Arabidopsis thaliana: one gene and its partner. The protein of the gene in region 2 binds, or shares a complex with, the protein of the main gene of each other region. Each region holds a gene or a part of one and is shown on either strand. Other genes may lie near its edges.

What was found.
Region 1: SYN4 (region 2) and SYN2 share a complex: the UniProt entries of both Arabidopsis thaliana proteins name them as parts of the cohesin complex.

The regions. Positions count from the first base shown.
Region 1 is NC_003076.8:16,358,033-16,365,698, forward strand, and holds SYN2 (Rad21/Rec8-like family protein), read right to left. Parts: upstream 5,847-7,666; 5' UTR 5,691-5,846; coding exon 5,567-5,690; intron 5,423-5,566; exon of another isoform or gene 5,029-5,422; coding exon 4,755-5,028; intron 4,675-4,754; coding exon 4,637-4,674; intron 4,559-4,636; coding exon 4,512-4,558; intron 4,355-4,511; coding exon 4,284-4,354; intron 4,212-4,283; coding exon 3,454-4,211; intron 3,375-3,453; coding exon 3,263-3,374; intron 3,178-3,262; coding exon 3,041-3,177; intron 2,969-3,040; coding exon 2,385-2,968; intron 2,273-2,384; coding exon 2,236-2,272; intron 2,014-2,235; coding exon 1,992-2,013; coding exon of another isoform or gene 1,988-1,991; exon of another isoform or gene 1,905-1,987; coding exon 1,772-1,904; intron 1,675-1,771; coding exon 1,579-1,674; 3' UTR 1,299-1,578; downstream 1-1,298. UniProt on the Arabidopsis thaliana protein: May be involved in sister chromatid cohesion during mitosis.
Region 2 is NC_003076.8:5,313,843-5,322,958, reverse strand, and holds SYN4 (sister chromatid cohesion 1 protein 4), read right to left. Parts: upstream 6,763-9,116; 5' UTR 6,459-6,762; intron 6,202-6,458; 5' UTR 6,177-6,201; coding exon 6,053-6,176; intron 5,879-6,052; coding exon 5,617-5,878; intron 5,518-5,616; coding exon 5,420-5,517; intron 5,335-5,419; coding exon 5,285-5,334; intron 4,919-5,284; coding exon 4,866-4,918; intron 4,413-4,865; coding exon 4,313-4,412; intron 4,098-4,312; coding exon 3,629-4,097; intron 3,550-3,628; coding exon 3,130-3,549; intron 3,027-3,129; coding exon 2,888-3,026; intron 2,587-2,887; coding exon 2,450-2,586; intron 2,350-2,449; coding exon 1,481-2,349; intron 1,406-1,480; coding exon 1,372-1,405; intron 1,151-1,371; coding exon 1,039-1,150; intron 936-1,038; coding exon 806-935; intron 728-805; coding exon 629-727; 3' UTR 259-628; downstream 1-258. Other genes in the region: ELF9 (RNA binding (RRM/RBD/RNP motifs) family protein), read right to left, coding at 7,463-7,589, 7,691-7,782, 7,893-7,973, 8,060-8,136, 8,739-8,819, 8,944-9,046. UniProt on the Arabidopsis thaliana protein: Involved in sister chromatid and centromere cohesion during mitosis.

The DNA of each region.
Region 1 (7,666 bases), about 11 Mb from region 2:
TATTATTTTTTAAGACCACTAATATTAAACATATCAAATCATCCTAATTTAGAAAAAATTATATAAAACCAAAAATGTTATGTGGTAGGTATAATGTTACTATATATAAAATTAAACTATAAAATATAAATGTATTAGAGAATGATACAATTGGCAAAACTTTTATATATAAAAAATAATTCTAAGATTTTAAAAATTACTACTTTAAAAAAAAATCATGGGACGGGTAAAGAAATTACAGAACGTGTTTTATTTTAGAATTGAGTTATATGGTGGATGTATTTGAATCAATATTTATAAAATTTTAAAATATTATTAATATGCTGTTTTAATAGGGGTCAAAACTTCAGTTTTTTTAACAATTGTCTTATGAATTCGTGGTATAGCGTTACTTAATAACAATTATAAACTGTAAAATATAAATATATTGTAAAAATAAAATTTGCAAGTTTTAATATATATTACTTTTAAAAATAAATCGTTCCGCGGTATACCGCGGGTTAAAATCTAGTCCTACTATATTATTTGGGAAGTCCAATTTAAAATATAACCTTAACTTTCTAACTAATTACATGACAACGTCATTAAAAAAATCTAATCAAGAACAAAATCGTTTCACGTCATTAAAATTAGCAAAGTCATTTAATAATAATATCCATCTCTTAATTATGAGGCTTATTGGATCTAAATACGGATCACATGCCAATTACCGAATAGTCATATCATAAATAAGATTAATAAAATAAATTGCTTTTTGGCAAAACGGATTTGAAGGGATAGATTTTTGATTCAATATTAATAAAAACTTAAAATATCATTAATCTACCGCTTTAATACGGGTTAAATTTTTAATTTATTATTTTTTAAGACCACCAATATTAGACATATCAAAATTATTTTTTTAGAAAAAATTGTATAAAACCAAAAATGTTATGTGGTATAATGTTATTATATATAAAGTTAAACTATAAAATATAAATGACTTAGAGAATAATACAACTTGTATACTTTTATATATAATAAATAATTATTAAATTTTAGAAATTAATATTTTTAAAAAACAAATTACGAGACGGATAAAAAAATTACAGAATAAATTATATTTTGGATTTTGAAATGGTGTTATATGATGAATATGTTTGAATCAATATTTTATAAATACATATATTTTGCAAATTTTGATATATACTACTTTAAAAAAAAAAATCATCCCGCAATATACCGCGAGTTAAAATCTAGTGAACTAAATATTTATAAACGTTTGAAATATATAAATTCGTTGATCAAAATAGATGTAGCGTTATCAGTCCTTAACGAAACTCTGGCACCCGTTATCACATGTTAACAATTCTGCTAGTCGTTAAAACAATCTATAGCATGGCTAAGGACTCTTTAAAAACTTAAAAACTTGATAAGACACATATACTTTAGATCGTCAATTATTCTTACTAAAAATTAACTTAAAAGAAAAACTAAAAATAGCTATTTTGTTAGAAGATACTAAAAGCTAACAACATTAATCTGAAACCTAACTGAAGAAATCTGAGGAAAATCTTAAGTGAAGAAAATATCCATTTTTCAACAAGCTTTTTGTGGTCTGGAAACACGCATGAGAAAAACATCACTATATGGATGATTTTGCTTCACTTCCACGTATCCTTTGGTCTTCAACACCTGCAAAATCAAATTCAGAGAGTTTCTCCATCTTAAGTCTTTCATGGAGACAGATAAAACGGTGAAGACATGTGCTTGTAAAAAAATTGAGAAATACCAAAGTCTCGTAGAAGAGTCTTGCGCTTTCCTTCTGAGTTCTTCCTCTACACAGTTGCAACAAACTCACCTTCTCTTCTTCTTCTCTTTCCCTCTGTTCCAAAAACGTCTTTTCCAAGAATTTCGCCACATTCCTGTACAATCCAGCGTCAGAAAACCAGGATAATCATCTGAATGTAAGCGAATCGAAGCTGTTGATACCGAAAGTGTGAGTCTGTTACCTTGTTCTTGAGGACCATGTCTCTGCAAATCAAAATATACATGGTAAGGACGCAGCACGATGATCGACATGCAACAAGAACAATTTGATAAGATTTGGATTCCAAATAAGTTGCGTATATTTCGATGGTTGAAACTTTCACTCAAAGCTACATATAATTTCAGAAACTTAATAGATTCTTGTCTACTAAATCAATAAAAGCCTGAGCACTCATGAGACCTACAAAAATTCAGAATGCGTTTTACCTTGTTGTAAGTCCTGTCTTTCATCTGCATTCACCTGCTGAAGCAGAAACAAAAAAAAAAAATGCTCAGTCTTGCAATTAAATAAGATAGGCTAAAAGAACTATAAAAACCTTTTTAACTACTATCAGAAGGATGCAACACAGCAGTACCTCATCGTTCATTAAAATCGTATCAAGATCTCTATTTTCCACATAATACACAGACGGGTGCTCCTCAAAGGAAGTGAAGGGACTTGCAGGTCTGGATTTTTTATAACAGGTCCCAGGGTCCTTGAAAAATCTTTTCGACATTGATTCCCTCACCGGCGTTTCAGGTGCAATCTCTACTTGCTCAGAGACTACTGGTGTTTCTGGAGCAATCACTGTTTGCTCTGATGTCCTCACGGGTGTTTCTGGAGCAATAACTGAAGGCTTCACAGGTGTCTCTGCGGCATTTTCTGTTTGATGAGCAGTTCCAGAAGTTGTAGAACTTGCTCCCATCTCAACCGAAACCACGTTACTATTTCCGGCTGTCACTTTCAGCCCAGCGAGAGCAGCAGCCTGAGGAGTCTCCATAATTTCTTGAGTATTCTCAGTCTGATCTGAAGATAAAATAACCCCAGGAGATCTGACAGTGTCAAGAGAAGACTTTTCCTTATGTCTAGCGATTTTAGTATCTTTAGGGGTTCCTGTGGTTGCCCAGTTTTTAAGCTTGATGGGTTGACAAAAAAGCGACTGGAGGTCCGAAGAACCATCTGCGGGATTACAACAATCAGCAAACACAACAATACAATACGATATACAGCGGATTACCAGGTTTTACTTACACTGAATCAAAGGTTCCAAAAAACTTCGAAAAGGATTGGCAAAACGTTTGGTTCTCCTCTCAGGACAGTCAGTATGAGGTACGTTTCTCCGTTTTGCAAGCAATTTACTTGAGTCCTCTATCATTTCCTTCATAACTCTACAATAACAAAAGAACCAAATATTACATACTTGTACGGAACTCTGCAGACGAATCTAATCCAGGTTACAAATAGTTCTCTTACTTGTTCGGAATTATCACTTCATCATCTATCAGACATTTTCTTTTCCGTGAAACTCGAGAAGACTCCTTCGCAGCCGGCGTAGGGATGATCGAGAACTGTGGACTTGTTCCCCCTGTAATTCAAAGTATAGGTTAACACGCTAAAAACGTAACTAAAAGTATATTAAGCTCATATTTCAATAAAGTGTGCACCTTCAGAAATTTTCAACCGGGAAGGTGTTTTGGGAGTGACAGTAACTGGAGTATCTGTTGCATTAAATTCGCTACTAGGGTCTTTAGAAACAGTCATGTCAGAGAGAAAACCTTTCTCGGAACCATGGAGATTCACTTCAGAAGTTTCAGATTGCTCTTTATGAGACCCATGAAACAATTCAAAGTCTGCCATTTCCGCTTCATTATGGTCTCGACATTTTTCTACGCCTTCTTGCAAGTCTCTGGAACCAGTCACAGATACTGGTTCTGGTTTTTCTAGAGTACTCATCTCAGGGATCTCCTTCTCCCCATTAATTCTTGTGGCACCAGAAGGTTGATCCTCAATCCCATGAATTGCTTCAGGTATTCCGCATTCAGATGGGAGGGACCTGTCATGCTGCATCTCTTCGCAACTTGTTTTCTTCGAGGTTTTCTCCGATTCTAAATTCTCTGTGTGACCATCTCTGTGTAGATTATCTCCTGAGGATTCATGAGAATCCACTAGTCTCTGCACAATGGTACATATGGTTTCTCTAACTGTATCTTCTTCTTGAGCTATTCGGATATCTTCGGACATTTGCGGTTCCAGAAGAATGTCATCTGATTCTGGATCCTCTCTATGCCTAGATGCATTTTGATGATCTCTGGATGGTTCATTAGAATCCAGTGGTTCCGCTTCAACGACTCTGACGGATGCTTCTTCAGTGGTATCTCTGACATTTTCTGCATCCAATTCCATATCATGAGCAAAACTCTCACTGCAACAACAAACAGAAAATTAGGATTGTGTTTGCCGATTACATGTATGGAACCAAAAATATCAGACTCACTGTTTATTTTCATTATGATTGGTAGAGAAAGTCTCATGAAACGTAAACAGAAGGTCCTCTTCCATGTCAAACTGCAACTCCACAAAGCATTATCTTTATTACATATATAGATTCACGAAATTACCAGAATTAAAAGGAATGGAACGAAGAAACAATGTCAATATACGCTGTAGTAGCTTAGAACCTAACAGTTACACACTCAGTAATCTATAAGGTGAGAAACCATACCCTTTCCATCGAATACATGTCCATGCGCTCTGTTTCCTGACTTCCATCTGTTTTATCGCAGTGCAGTGGTATTAGTAAATGAACAGTGATGAGATTCCCTTTAAACGACTTTAGTGATAAGATACCTTTAAGTGTAATATCTTCATGCGGCTTAACATTTCCCCTGAGAAAGAAGAAACAAAAGAGTTGAGACTATGAAAGAATCTCTGCGAAATACATTCTATATAGAAATAACAAGCATACCCATGAAAATCCTCCAGAACCCCAAGATCAAAAGCATCTAGTTCAAATCTCTCAGGTAAAGCAATGGAAAAACACTCGATAGATGCAGGCAATGATACACCTGTCTTTTCTCTGTTCCTTTCCTTAGCCACAAACTCCTTTACACCGATCAACGCTTTATTGCAATCATCGAACAAAAAGTCAACCTTCTTGGAATATATCCTTACAACACCAAGAAGAAGATACGCCAAAACTCTGTATGTCAACGCATCTAACTCTTTTTGCAAGATTTGATCTGTGCATCCAAAAAAAAAACCCCCGAAGAATTACACATCAGAAACGTCATTAAAGTAAAAAATACTGAAAATGTCAAATGTTGTAGAAAAAAAGTCCATCTTTCTCGAGGATACAAGTACTTTAGAGATCAAGCAAACTAAGCGTTGACCAGCAGCTTTCTGATACTAAGTGAGTAAGATGAAATGTTTAGATTTAAGTTTATATGAGAAAAGGCAGATTGATACTACTAAGGATTCGATACTATTCAGACTTAAAATAAATCACTGAACTCAATCTCTGAGGTTCACTCAGGCATTTTGTCAAACAACTGATGAACATAAACAAGTAACATTGAAAGACCCCAACAAAATCAACAGTGATCTCTAATTAACGCTGCCAATGGATACAAACGAAACCCTAAAATTCTATTCCAGCTAAAAAATCCACTAAAGCTGCAAAGTTTCACTCAAACAATCACTTTTCCAATCGCCGGAGAAAAATCTCTAACTAGAACAGAGAGAAGAAGAAGAAGAATGTGAAGGAGGAGAAAGACAAACCAACGGAAGAAGGAATATGAGTAGCTTTGACTTGAGATTTCTTAAGCTTTTTGAAGAAATAGGCAGCGACCCAAATAGCTCCTAAAGGTCCTTTTCTCGATACTAGACAATGCGAGTAAAACATTTTTGAGTGTGAAGGTTTACCAGATTCTGGGTTTTAGACAAAGGTTAGTTTTTTTTAAGAGAGCAGCGAGAGAGAGAGAGAGAGCGAGCAACTTCGTAAAATAGTGAAGCGAGGGAGAGAAGAAATTGAGGAGAAGGAAACGGTCAAGCGGTGTACGGAACAAGCTTCTTACTAAACCGATTAACTTTTTTTCTTTTAATTTTAATTTTAGTTTTTTTTTTTCTTGTTAAGTCACGCTTAATCTGTTTATTTTCAAGTCGTTTTAGAGTAATTAAACTTTTTAAAGTCTATTGACAAGTTATGTAGTTTTGGAAATTGAAAATGTTTTGAATTAGGTGTCATAAATTTAAATTTTCCTAATTAGACGGTGACCAGAAAATCACACCTTCTTAATTATGCATTTTTTTTTAATTGATACTTCCTTCTCTGTTGATCAAAAAAAAAAAAAAAAAACCTTCTCCTTTTTAATTGTGCAATTTCCTATTTTTCCATAAGAATAGAAAAAATAATTTTGGAGGGAGTGATAGTCTGATAGTATTAGATAATTTATAATTTATTTAATTAATTTTGGATAAACAAAATATATATATATATATACAAGTTAATTTTTTGAATAGGAAAAAAAAAAACATTGCTGTTAAAAATTAATCAACGAAGATAACAATTGAATTGAAATATGCTAATGCTGATTATTGACTTCATATTTATATTTACCTTTTCTAAATTCTACAGAAAAAGAAGTAAATAAATAATATAATACTACCACACTAAAAGATAACGACTAGTTTGATGGAAATGTGAGCTGTCTCACTCCTTCACGCATCGTTAAGAGCGTTTAAACGTTTATAACTGCGCACAGTCATTTTGTATAACACGTGTCCGGTTAAAAGTCTACGTGGCGTTTAAGTGACAGCGACATCTCATAGACCATTGGTCCGACGTGGCATTACGTTGCGAATGGGCCTGAATAGAATAAAATTATGCCCAATAAAAAGTCTCTCGACCTAACTCTTAAAAGCCCAATAATTTGATCAATTCTTATATAAGGGCCTGACTGGTTTAAATACAGCGGGTGCGGTTACGGTTGCGCAAGTTTGCGGAAACGGCCGGTTGCGGTTTTAAGCGTTATCAAGCCTTTTAAACGACTGGTTAAGCGTTTGATAATGGGTGCGTTTTCGGGAGTTTTATGACCGGTAAACCAGCAAGTGTGATAGTAATTAAATAAAAAACCAAAATAAATATAATATATTACTATTAAAAGAAAGAAAAATACAATATATTATTATGATAAATTGATAATATTAGAAAAATTAAACATGCTTAATAATTAAAACCATAAATAAAACATTAAATTTAAAATAAATAAATTTTGTAAGAAAAAGTTTAATACTTTATGCATTTGGTACATACCAAAAATTGCATCAAGTAGTGTGATAAACTATAAATAACGTTGAACTCGCGGGTTTTCCGGATTGCCTCTATACATATGATAAAGTTTCTTCAAGATATCCAAACGATTTTTAACACATCTCCAACTCAAATTTTTCCCAAACTGGTCGTTAATATTCTTAAGAATATTTTCTTTTTGAACATCACTTAGAAATCTGATTTTGGGATCTTTGGAATCTTCCGTTAAATATTGATTAGGTTTTTTTTAATAAGAATAAGATATATAGGGTTTGGGTAGAAGACATAATTATTTTAATTAATTAAAAAAAAAAAATAACCTAACTGCTACCGCCCGCAACCGCAAATGCTTGCGGGAATGAGCTTTTGAAATCTGGCGATTTTGAACGGTGTAAAGCAGTATCTAGCGGTTTCTATGATTGATGTCAATCGCTAACAATCGCTAGCACCCGCAAATACAGCGTTTGCGAGTGACAAAGGGAAAACCAATTAAACCCTAAGTAATTGTCTTTGTCTTTGATATTCCTTTCTTCTGACCCAATTAAGACAAAACCCTCTACACACTTTTC
Region 2 (9,116 bases):
ACAAAATCGGGTGTTTAACAACAAAAAAATGTCATTGTACAATCCAATATCTTAAATGGCTTCAAAGAAAAAAATATATATACTAAACGGCTAAAAATTTGCCATTTCCTTGTTTCAACGTACATTTGACTCTTCTATTCTTGAATTCTTGTAGTTTTAACTCTAAAATCGTTGATGATAATAATGGGGAAAAGGATCATTTACTAGAAAACCATTTGAGGAAACAATTTCACTTCACAAGAACGTAGAGACTTTATCTTATATGAAAAGTACTATTTATTGAATAAAATGTTTCCTCAGTATTCTCAGGTTTCAATATCACACAAACCTGACAACTTTGGTTATCCAAAGAAAATAAAATTAGCATCTCTCAAATTTAAACTTGGTGCTCATGGTTACACCAATATATACATATACAACAACAACTCATTATATATAAAGGTAAATAATGACAAACACCAATCTCCAGCTACTTGGATAGCCTACAACACCATTGATACTACTATTACTACTACATTGCCTTAAAAAGGGAAAGTGTATTAACTTTGGAGAAGTAGAATCATTTCGAATGATATTCTCGGATTGGACCAAACTAGCTATCTGCAACTATATGACTGATCTTCTCCATCTAGAAGATGGATTTGGTGAGCTTTGGTCGCGGTTTTATGATGATGCTTTCATAGGGCTTCCCTTGTTCGACTTGGATGTAATCTCTTGTTTTAAGAACCTGCAAAATTGGCAAAACAATAAGACAGATTCAAGATCAGAGTTTTTTTTTTAGTTTAGGGTTGTGTTATGGACATACCAGGGTTTCGAAAAACATTCTCGATGCTTCTTTACGGGTTTTCCCAGCTAAAAGTTTGTCTGCCACAAGAACATTCTTCCCATTCTCGGTTTCTTTATCAAATAACGTCTGGAGATACTTTGCCACAGCCCTAAAAGTAAAGAGAATCAGAAGCTTTCATAATTCAAGCCCATCACATCACGTCTCTCACATGATAGAAGCTAAAATCTGAGCAAGTCATAAACTGTACAGACCTAGTACGAGAAGACCATCCACTGTTTTCTAGAAGACGAGTTTCATCATCATATTGTATGTCATCCTCCTCATGATCTTCATCTACTTCATCATCATCGACGTTCAAAAATCCTGAAGACACGAATGCAAGAAATTAATAAGAAGAACCATTGAGAAATCATCGGGAATAGCACTAGCAGCATCTCGTATCCAAATTATGCTCCAAGTTTAAGCTTGTTGAGTCCAGTTTTGAACCAGGATATGATGACCAGAGTATCAGTCCCATTGATCAAATGAAGAGGATACAGACCATTTGGAAAAGAAAAGAATTGAAATTCGAAAAGGCTTAGAACCTGTGTCATGTGCATTTTCCATGGTATCCATTTCCTACACCATAAGATAACAAGAGAGTCAGGGACATGTCTTACTTGAATAAGGATATGACGCAACAAAGAAACTTACATCATTGTCTCCCATAAGACCATCACGAGAAGTATGCTCTCCATCTAATGCATTTTGCATAGACGCCTCCTCATTAGACATCTCATTATGCGGTTCGTATTTGTTATAAGACTCTGTCTCTGGATTCAACCCATCACTATTCGCTTCCACCAGAGGTTCATTGCAATTTTCCAAAGCCATGTTACTCAAATCACCAGCTTCTAGGCATCCAGTTTCAGTAGACCCAACTGTGTTATCGCATGGAGTCTGATCGTCTCTCCCAAGCTCGCTAACTTCAGCTGATGCATCCGTTTTCTCATCTTCATGTGGAAGTTCATCTTCAACTTTCAAGTCCATCTCATTGAAAATGGGGTTGATATCTGTATCGCCTTCAGCAATTTCAATAACGTCAGTGCAACTTTTTTCATTAGGATCCGCACAAACATCCTGCCCGCCTTCTCCATCATGGTTTTCATGGGATTCTTCAACCTGTAAATCCTCTACACGGTCGAGTTTTTCCTCAGACGGTATTTGACTGACATCGTCAATCACTACAAGATTTACTTCATCAGCAGCTCCATTGCCTTCCTTCAAAACCTCCAAGTCAGATTTTTCAGCAAGCTCATTATCATCTTTCAGCTCTTCCTGTTGGTTTATGGTTTGTTCCTCCTGCGGGTGAGTATGAGCCGTACCAGGTTGCTCCTCACAATCATTTGGGTGAGCTTGCGGATCAGAGCTTTCTTCCGTTTTATTTTCTTCCACGGCCGTAACAGAACATTCATTATCTTCCACCGCTCCAACAGAAGCATGACGGTCATCATTCTCAATTATCATGATTCCTCTTAGATCATACGGCTCAGTGTGCAGAGATACTAATTCCACTGACATACCTGAAAATCAGTGAAACATATTAGCTATATAACTGCAGATTATAAGAACAATCAACAGAACGTGTATAGAACGGTCTACATTTTAGTGTCATGAACTTACCAGTAAATATTGGCTCCTTAAAGAGTCCATCCTCCAAAGCCTGCCTTTGAAGCATTACGATTTCAGGAACGGTGCAAGGTGCCTTCTTTCGCACGCGCCGTATATCTTCAGTGTTTGTCAGTTGTTGACGTATAATGCTAAACAGAAAAGTAGGCAACATCAGAAGAAAACAAATACAAATTGAGATAAGGTAAAAAAATATCGCTCCTAGGTAATTAAAGGTGTGAAACTTAAAAGAAGACCAAACTCCAATTACAGTAAAGAAAAAATCAGTAGTCAAACGAATTCAAGATTCACATTAATTTACTTCTGACTCTAGCTGTCTTGAACCTAAGTAGCTAAAACAAGAACTTCTATGAAAGGTCCACTTGGAGCAGTGGAACAAAAAAACTAAGGTATAAGAAAATCAGATATAAGAAAACAGTAAGACAAACATACTCGCCATGCAAGACCATAGGGTCATCCATTAGAACCTTCCTCTTTGTGGCAGTAGAGCGGGGAGCAGATCGTAACCGTTTTGTAGTTGCTGGTTCAAGCACAGGGGTAGGCCTCATCTTCAGAAAGGATGACTTTCCAACTGAAAAAAAAAAAAAATTCAACGATAATTGATCCATAAAGCTAGCTCAAAGAGCAATAGAATGTATAAAAGAACAGACAGAGTATCCAAAATAAACTGATACCTAAGATAGAAGACAACAAATCATCGTCATCAGGGACAGAATCTGCAGTTCTCTTTGACTGAATCAGTCCAACTGACTCCACAGAGTTCAAACTTTCTGCAGTTAGTGTGCTCTCAGTAAAAGTGCGTTTTTTCCCAGTAATGTTATTATTCCCCGCATCATCATTACATGTGCCAGGGTCTTCTTTATCTGGTGTAGATTCAACCATGAAATCATTTCCATCCCCCTGTCTGTTAGGTACAGCTAATACCTTCTCAGGTGGAGGGAAATCAGAATCGGTAAATCCAGTCAAATTTCCCAACTGTTCATCAGTTTCGTGTGCATTATTCAGCTGCCCATCTGGTCTACTGTACGCTTGCTCATCTCCTTGTAAACTAGAATCTGTTTCCTGATTGACCTCAGTGGCAATGGCAAAATGATCTGGCAACAATAAAAATTATAAGCATAAGGCAGGCACTAAGATGTCGTATAAGGTTTGCAATTTTCTTTGCCAACAAACCTCGGTTCTCTTCTCCAGGGGTTTCAAGTGGAGGAACAGCATCGGGTTTATCAGGTACAACATTAGCTCCTGCCTCATTCATTACTTGACCAGGATCCTCCATCTCGGTGGTGATGTGAGAACAACATGGAGATGTAACATGTACATGCTCTGCCCTCTCCTCCTCCGGCTCATTTTGTGTGTTGACATTTTCATCTATCTGTGACTTATCTACCTCCACAGGAGTAACTGCTGATTCTGGGGCATTATATTCAGAAGACAGGTCTTCCCCACGTTTAGGCATCTCATTAGCATTCAGCTCCCCAGAGGACTTTATACCTTCTTCTGCATTCAGATCCTCTACGTCCATGTGATCATCGCATGCCATCTGCTCTCTCACACTAGACGAGTTTGGCACCTCAACTAATCCAGGAGTTTGAGGAGCTTGAGCATCTTCGATGAACTCATTATTCATAGCAAGATCTTCAACCTATCAAAAAGAGAGATTCACAATACTATCCAATAGTCTTACCAGAAAAGTAAGCCAATAAATCTGTGTAAACAAATTGTAAATTTGGAGTCTGTAACTGCAATGTACATTCAGACATAATGCAAAGTAAAATATATCACATTAAGCACTGTGACTCAGGTGACAATTATTAAGCAACTATAGGTATGCCCTCGTGCATTATGTATGGTACGCACCTGCTCTTCATTAAAATCCATGGGCATGGCTTCAGAGACTCCTTCCATCGAATCCTTTATCCCGGGTGCTGCCGCATCCAGATACGCGTTGTGATCAATACTATCAACAAATAGAATATCTTACATAAGTAAAACTTTTGATTGATAATTTGCACGTCCAAATTATGCACCAAAGGTCCACATCCAAGAAGGATAAGACTCACAGAATTGCAGTTCTAATTCACAATCCAATTACAGAACAAACACAAACTCAAGGTATGAATGTCATGGAACTTAAAAAGCATGGTTACAAAGCTTGAAACACACACATTCAAGCGCCAAAACGCAAAGCTTTTTATCATTCAGTCAACTCGAGATCTTCCCTAATGTGAGCATTTAAAATCTATGATAACAATCTGAAGTAGCGGTATGAAAATATAGAAAAGGTACTGAACAGCTCCAGAAAAGAAGATCAAGCTGACACTTCGATAGTTAATTTGAGAGGAACCATAGGGAAGCATAAAAGCAATTATGCTACAAAGAATATAGCCAAAGATAATGAACAAAAACTGACCCTGGAACTCCCTCATCGTCGGATCCAATAACATCCTTGTCCTGGAATACTGCCTGCACAACAAGAGAGGAATGATAAAAGATCACATCCAAAATAATAAGAGAGAAGTTCTGATTGCAAATATGCAAAGCTTCACTAGAAAAAGAAAACATCAACATTATCCTGACGCTACAACATGACTGCAACCTAACACTTCAAATTACAAGCTTTTCACGGTCTAGGACTCCGCAACTGGATACCAATCAGAGCTTCCAGCTGCTGCGTCTACCCAAACAGAGGAGAGAAAGAACCCAAAATCTAAAAGCAAATGAAATCTACAGATAACCTCTTCATATTCAGCTTTCTATATGGTTATCCTATTTCTTGTTCCAAAATGACTTGAACAAAGTAGAAAATATCTATTATAAACACAAAAATACCTCATCAAGATCCAAAGCAGCTTGAGAAGTGTCGCCATCACCAAATCGCTCTGCAAAAGTTTTAAAATGACTTTGCTTATCTACGGCATAGCTATCTACAAACTAAAGACAAGCAAATATGAAACAACCACTGACCATCTAATCCAAATTGTGACGTTGAGTATACAACGCCATCCATGGTATCCTGAAGGGTGATCTGCTCTTTTGTACTAACATGATGATCAACGTAATTACTGCTAGACAGGAAAACAAGGAGCAACAAATAAACAAATTATGCAAATTGGAGTAAGAGTGGAATACGAGTTTGAATGTTAAAACATAAAGAAACCAACCCCTGAAAGATCTCATTGTCTGGAAGCTCAAAGTCATCAAGATCAAATGTCTCTGGCAACGTAATAGAGTGATACGGCGCTGTAGATTCTTCAGGGGGTAGGTCAACAGCAGCAGAGCGAAAAGCTTGCTTTACCTTAAGCAATGCCTCACTGCAATCATCAAAGAGGTAATTCACCTTTCTCGAATATATACGCACAACACCAAGCAGAAGATGACTAGACAATCGCAATGCAATCGGAGCTTCCGGAAAGAGAATAGAATCTGCTCAGAAAAAGAAATTAGTTATATTAGGAAATATTTTAGATGAACTTGTTTAGCCACATAACAACTGAAAAAGAAGGAAACTTTAGCTTCTGCTAACCCTAGTGAGCACAACGAACTGAGACCTGAATCAGAGGTATTGTACACAAAAGCAAAAGGTAGCAAAATACTCACCAACGGAGACTCCAATATCAGTATCAGCGACCTGATTCTTTCGAAGCTTCCTCTCCAAATGGGCAGCAATCCATATTGTCCCAAGTGGCCCTTTCTTAGCTAATATAAACTGCGAATAAAACATTCCTCGTCCTCTATACCAAAAAACCCTAAAAAAATTCAACAAAAAGGAACCAACTTGTTAGAATTTCACCGTAACAAAATTGAGCTTCAAAAACTATTCAGATAACAAAATCCCTTTCTTCAGCCCCAAAGATACGTCTATAGAGAATCAAAAAAAGTTTCCAAATTTCGACAACAGAATCGAAATAGCTCAAACCGACAACAAAGTCTCGCAATTGCCACTGAGCAGAGACACTAGACTACTTCGGTAAGTAGAATAGAGAGCAAAGGGTAGATCAATTACCGTAGAATTGACCAAGCTCAAACAAGTCCAAAACAGCTCGATTTGAACAGAGTCCTCGCGGAAACCCTAATTCTCAGAAACTTGGAAAAAGAACACCCAATTTGGGTAAAAGCAGAATCTTAAAGACACAACTCTTTCTTCTTGGAGATTCAGACACAACAACAGCCAAGGAAAACAGTAAAATTTGTGGAAATTGCGATATGCAAAAAAAACTAAAAAGTTTCGAAATTTGGATCTTTGGTTGATTTTTGATTAAATGAGGGATTTGGTGCGGCAAAGAAACACATGTTCCGTGACATACGTCGTTCTCTCATTGGTTAAGAGATTAGCGGGTCCCGCATAGCTTTAGATTTAGATCATTTTTCAACAATTTTTGTTTTCGTCAACTAGCCCCAACAGTATTTAACTTCATTTAATTATTACTTGAAAATATTTTGGGTTTTTCCATTTTTTTCAAAATATTTCAACTCGGCGGCTTCTTTTGCCTCATTGCGGGAAATCTGAAAAAAATCGAAACTTTTTAATAAGAAAAACAGAAAAATAAAGATTCTGTTATTAGAGATCATCTGACAACATTCTGCTGTAAAAGTATGAAATTTAGGTCCAAACTACAATACAAAGTATTTTAAACAAATGATTGATAGAAACAAAAATTCATGTGATGGTGTCACACAAAAACTGCTAAGTATCATGATTTAACAAATAAGGAAAAAATATAGTGAAGCATAACTTTTAAATTCCGATTTTTCAAATTTCTAGAAGAAAATCGTATTACATAGTAGTAAAGGTTTTTAGTCAACGAATATCAAAATACACTTGCAAGTGCAGTCTTATTCGTTAATTTCACTACAGGTAATACTACTAGTACTAGATAAAACCGGTCCTCTGGGTTTGCGTTGGTCTGATTCAGATGTGTCTGTGCCTAGTGATTTACATCAGAAACCTGAGTTTCCCAGAATAATAATCCAAATCTTCCCAGCTTTAGATCATTGTGCTTTTGTTTTTTACTCAGCAGCTTCCAGTTCAGCTGCAAACTGATCTAACCGTTCCGCTTCCAAATCAAAATCCCTAACTGTAGCATGGTTCACTGATCCATCATCGAGGCTCGCATGTATCTGTCTCTTTGCATACCTGCATTCATCCAGAAACAGAAAGAAGTACATGTAAGCATCAGACTCAATACCGACTCTAATGGCAATTAGGCGGAAATGATGACTCAGGAGAGTTTGTACCATCGACCGTTCATTGCTTCTATACATTTCTGTGCATCTCTCCGATCCTTGAATCTTACAAGAACAACACCCTGTGGATGATGCTCACATACCTGTAAAGAAGAGATTCGATTGGTACTCCAAAATAATCTCAAGTTTTCCACAAAGCTATATGCAGCAAGCAAGACCACCAGCTTAAGATAAAAAGAAATCATATTATTACCTTCACTGAGTCGAACGGTCCATGCTTCAAACTCTCCTCTTTCACGTCTTCCTCTAACTCAGCAACCAGATCCTCATCAGCCTGCAAACAGAGTAAATGCTCAAAGCTATATCAGCTACTCTTAAAAATAGCAACATTTCTCATATTAACTATTGGACAAGACCTACCATCAACTCAGCTGGACTGAACATGTAGCGCAGAACAACCGTTGCAGGTATTGAGACCTTAGAATCATCTGTACCACCTACGTCAACAAAAGAGAGGAAATGTGATAAAATTTAGAATCCACTAGGAACAATCTCCAACTTCAACAACTAAAATGGTCATTTCTTTTGATTTTAATATGCTCAAAATCAACTAGGAATAATCAGAAATAGATAATATTGACATGACTATATGTTCCCTTTTGATCCATGCATCCGCAATGGCCACTGACCTAAATAAACATAGTAGGAGGAAAAAATGGCTCAATAACAGGAAACGCTCATCAGTTAAGATATCACAAGTCACCAGAAAGAATAAGAAAAGAATGATATGTCTGTAACCCCTATATCGTGTTTCTAAACTCTCGTCATTAAAAGGTTTCTTTCCAAAATTGATTAGGTTAAAAGTCTTTAGTGCAGTCTTTTTGCTAAGTAATGGTTAAGTTTAGAGAGTTCCACAAAGATCTGGTAAAGCACAGACAATATAGATACATCTTTTCCTAGTAAAAGAAATTATAATTTTAACAATAAACCTTCCTATGGTCGTAAGGAAATGAATCTCTAGCATCTCCTAGTATATTTCTCTATTATGCGTCTTTCTAGAGATAAGGTAAGTTTTTAGTACACGAAAGCGAAAACGTACCCCATCCAAGCAACTTTTGCTCGACCTTTTTAAGCTTCTTTTTCTTCTTGTTGTCGGTTTGCTTAGTTATAAATCTCTCCCCTGAGTAAAAAAAAAGTAAAGCCAATAAAAACCATAAGTAAAATATTGCCGAAACTAAAGCCACAGATGGGATGTTTTACATAACCGATAAGTTGTTATACAACAAATGTGCAATAGTATTAACCTTTCTGCTCGAACTTAGCTCGAGAAACTGACATGAGGAGCTTATCAGCAGGACGTAACGGAGCCCCGTCTAAGATTTTAATTGCCAGATCCACTGAGGGCTCCTAGTGAAAACAAAAACAAATACACATGAAGATGAAAAATAGACAAAGTTTAAAATCATAACCTTATGCA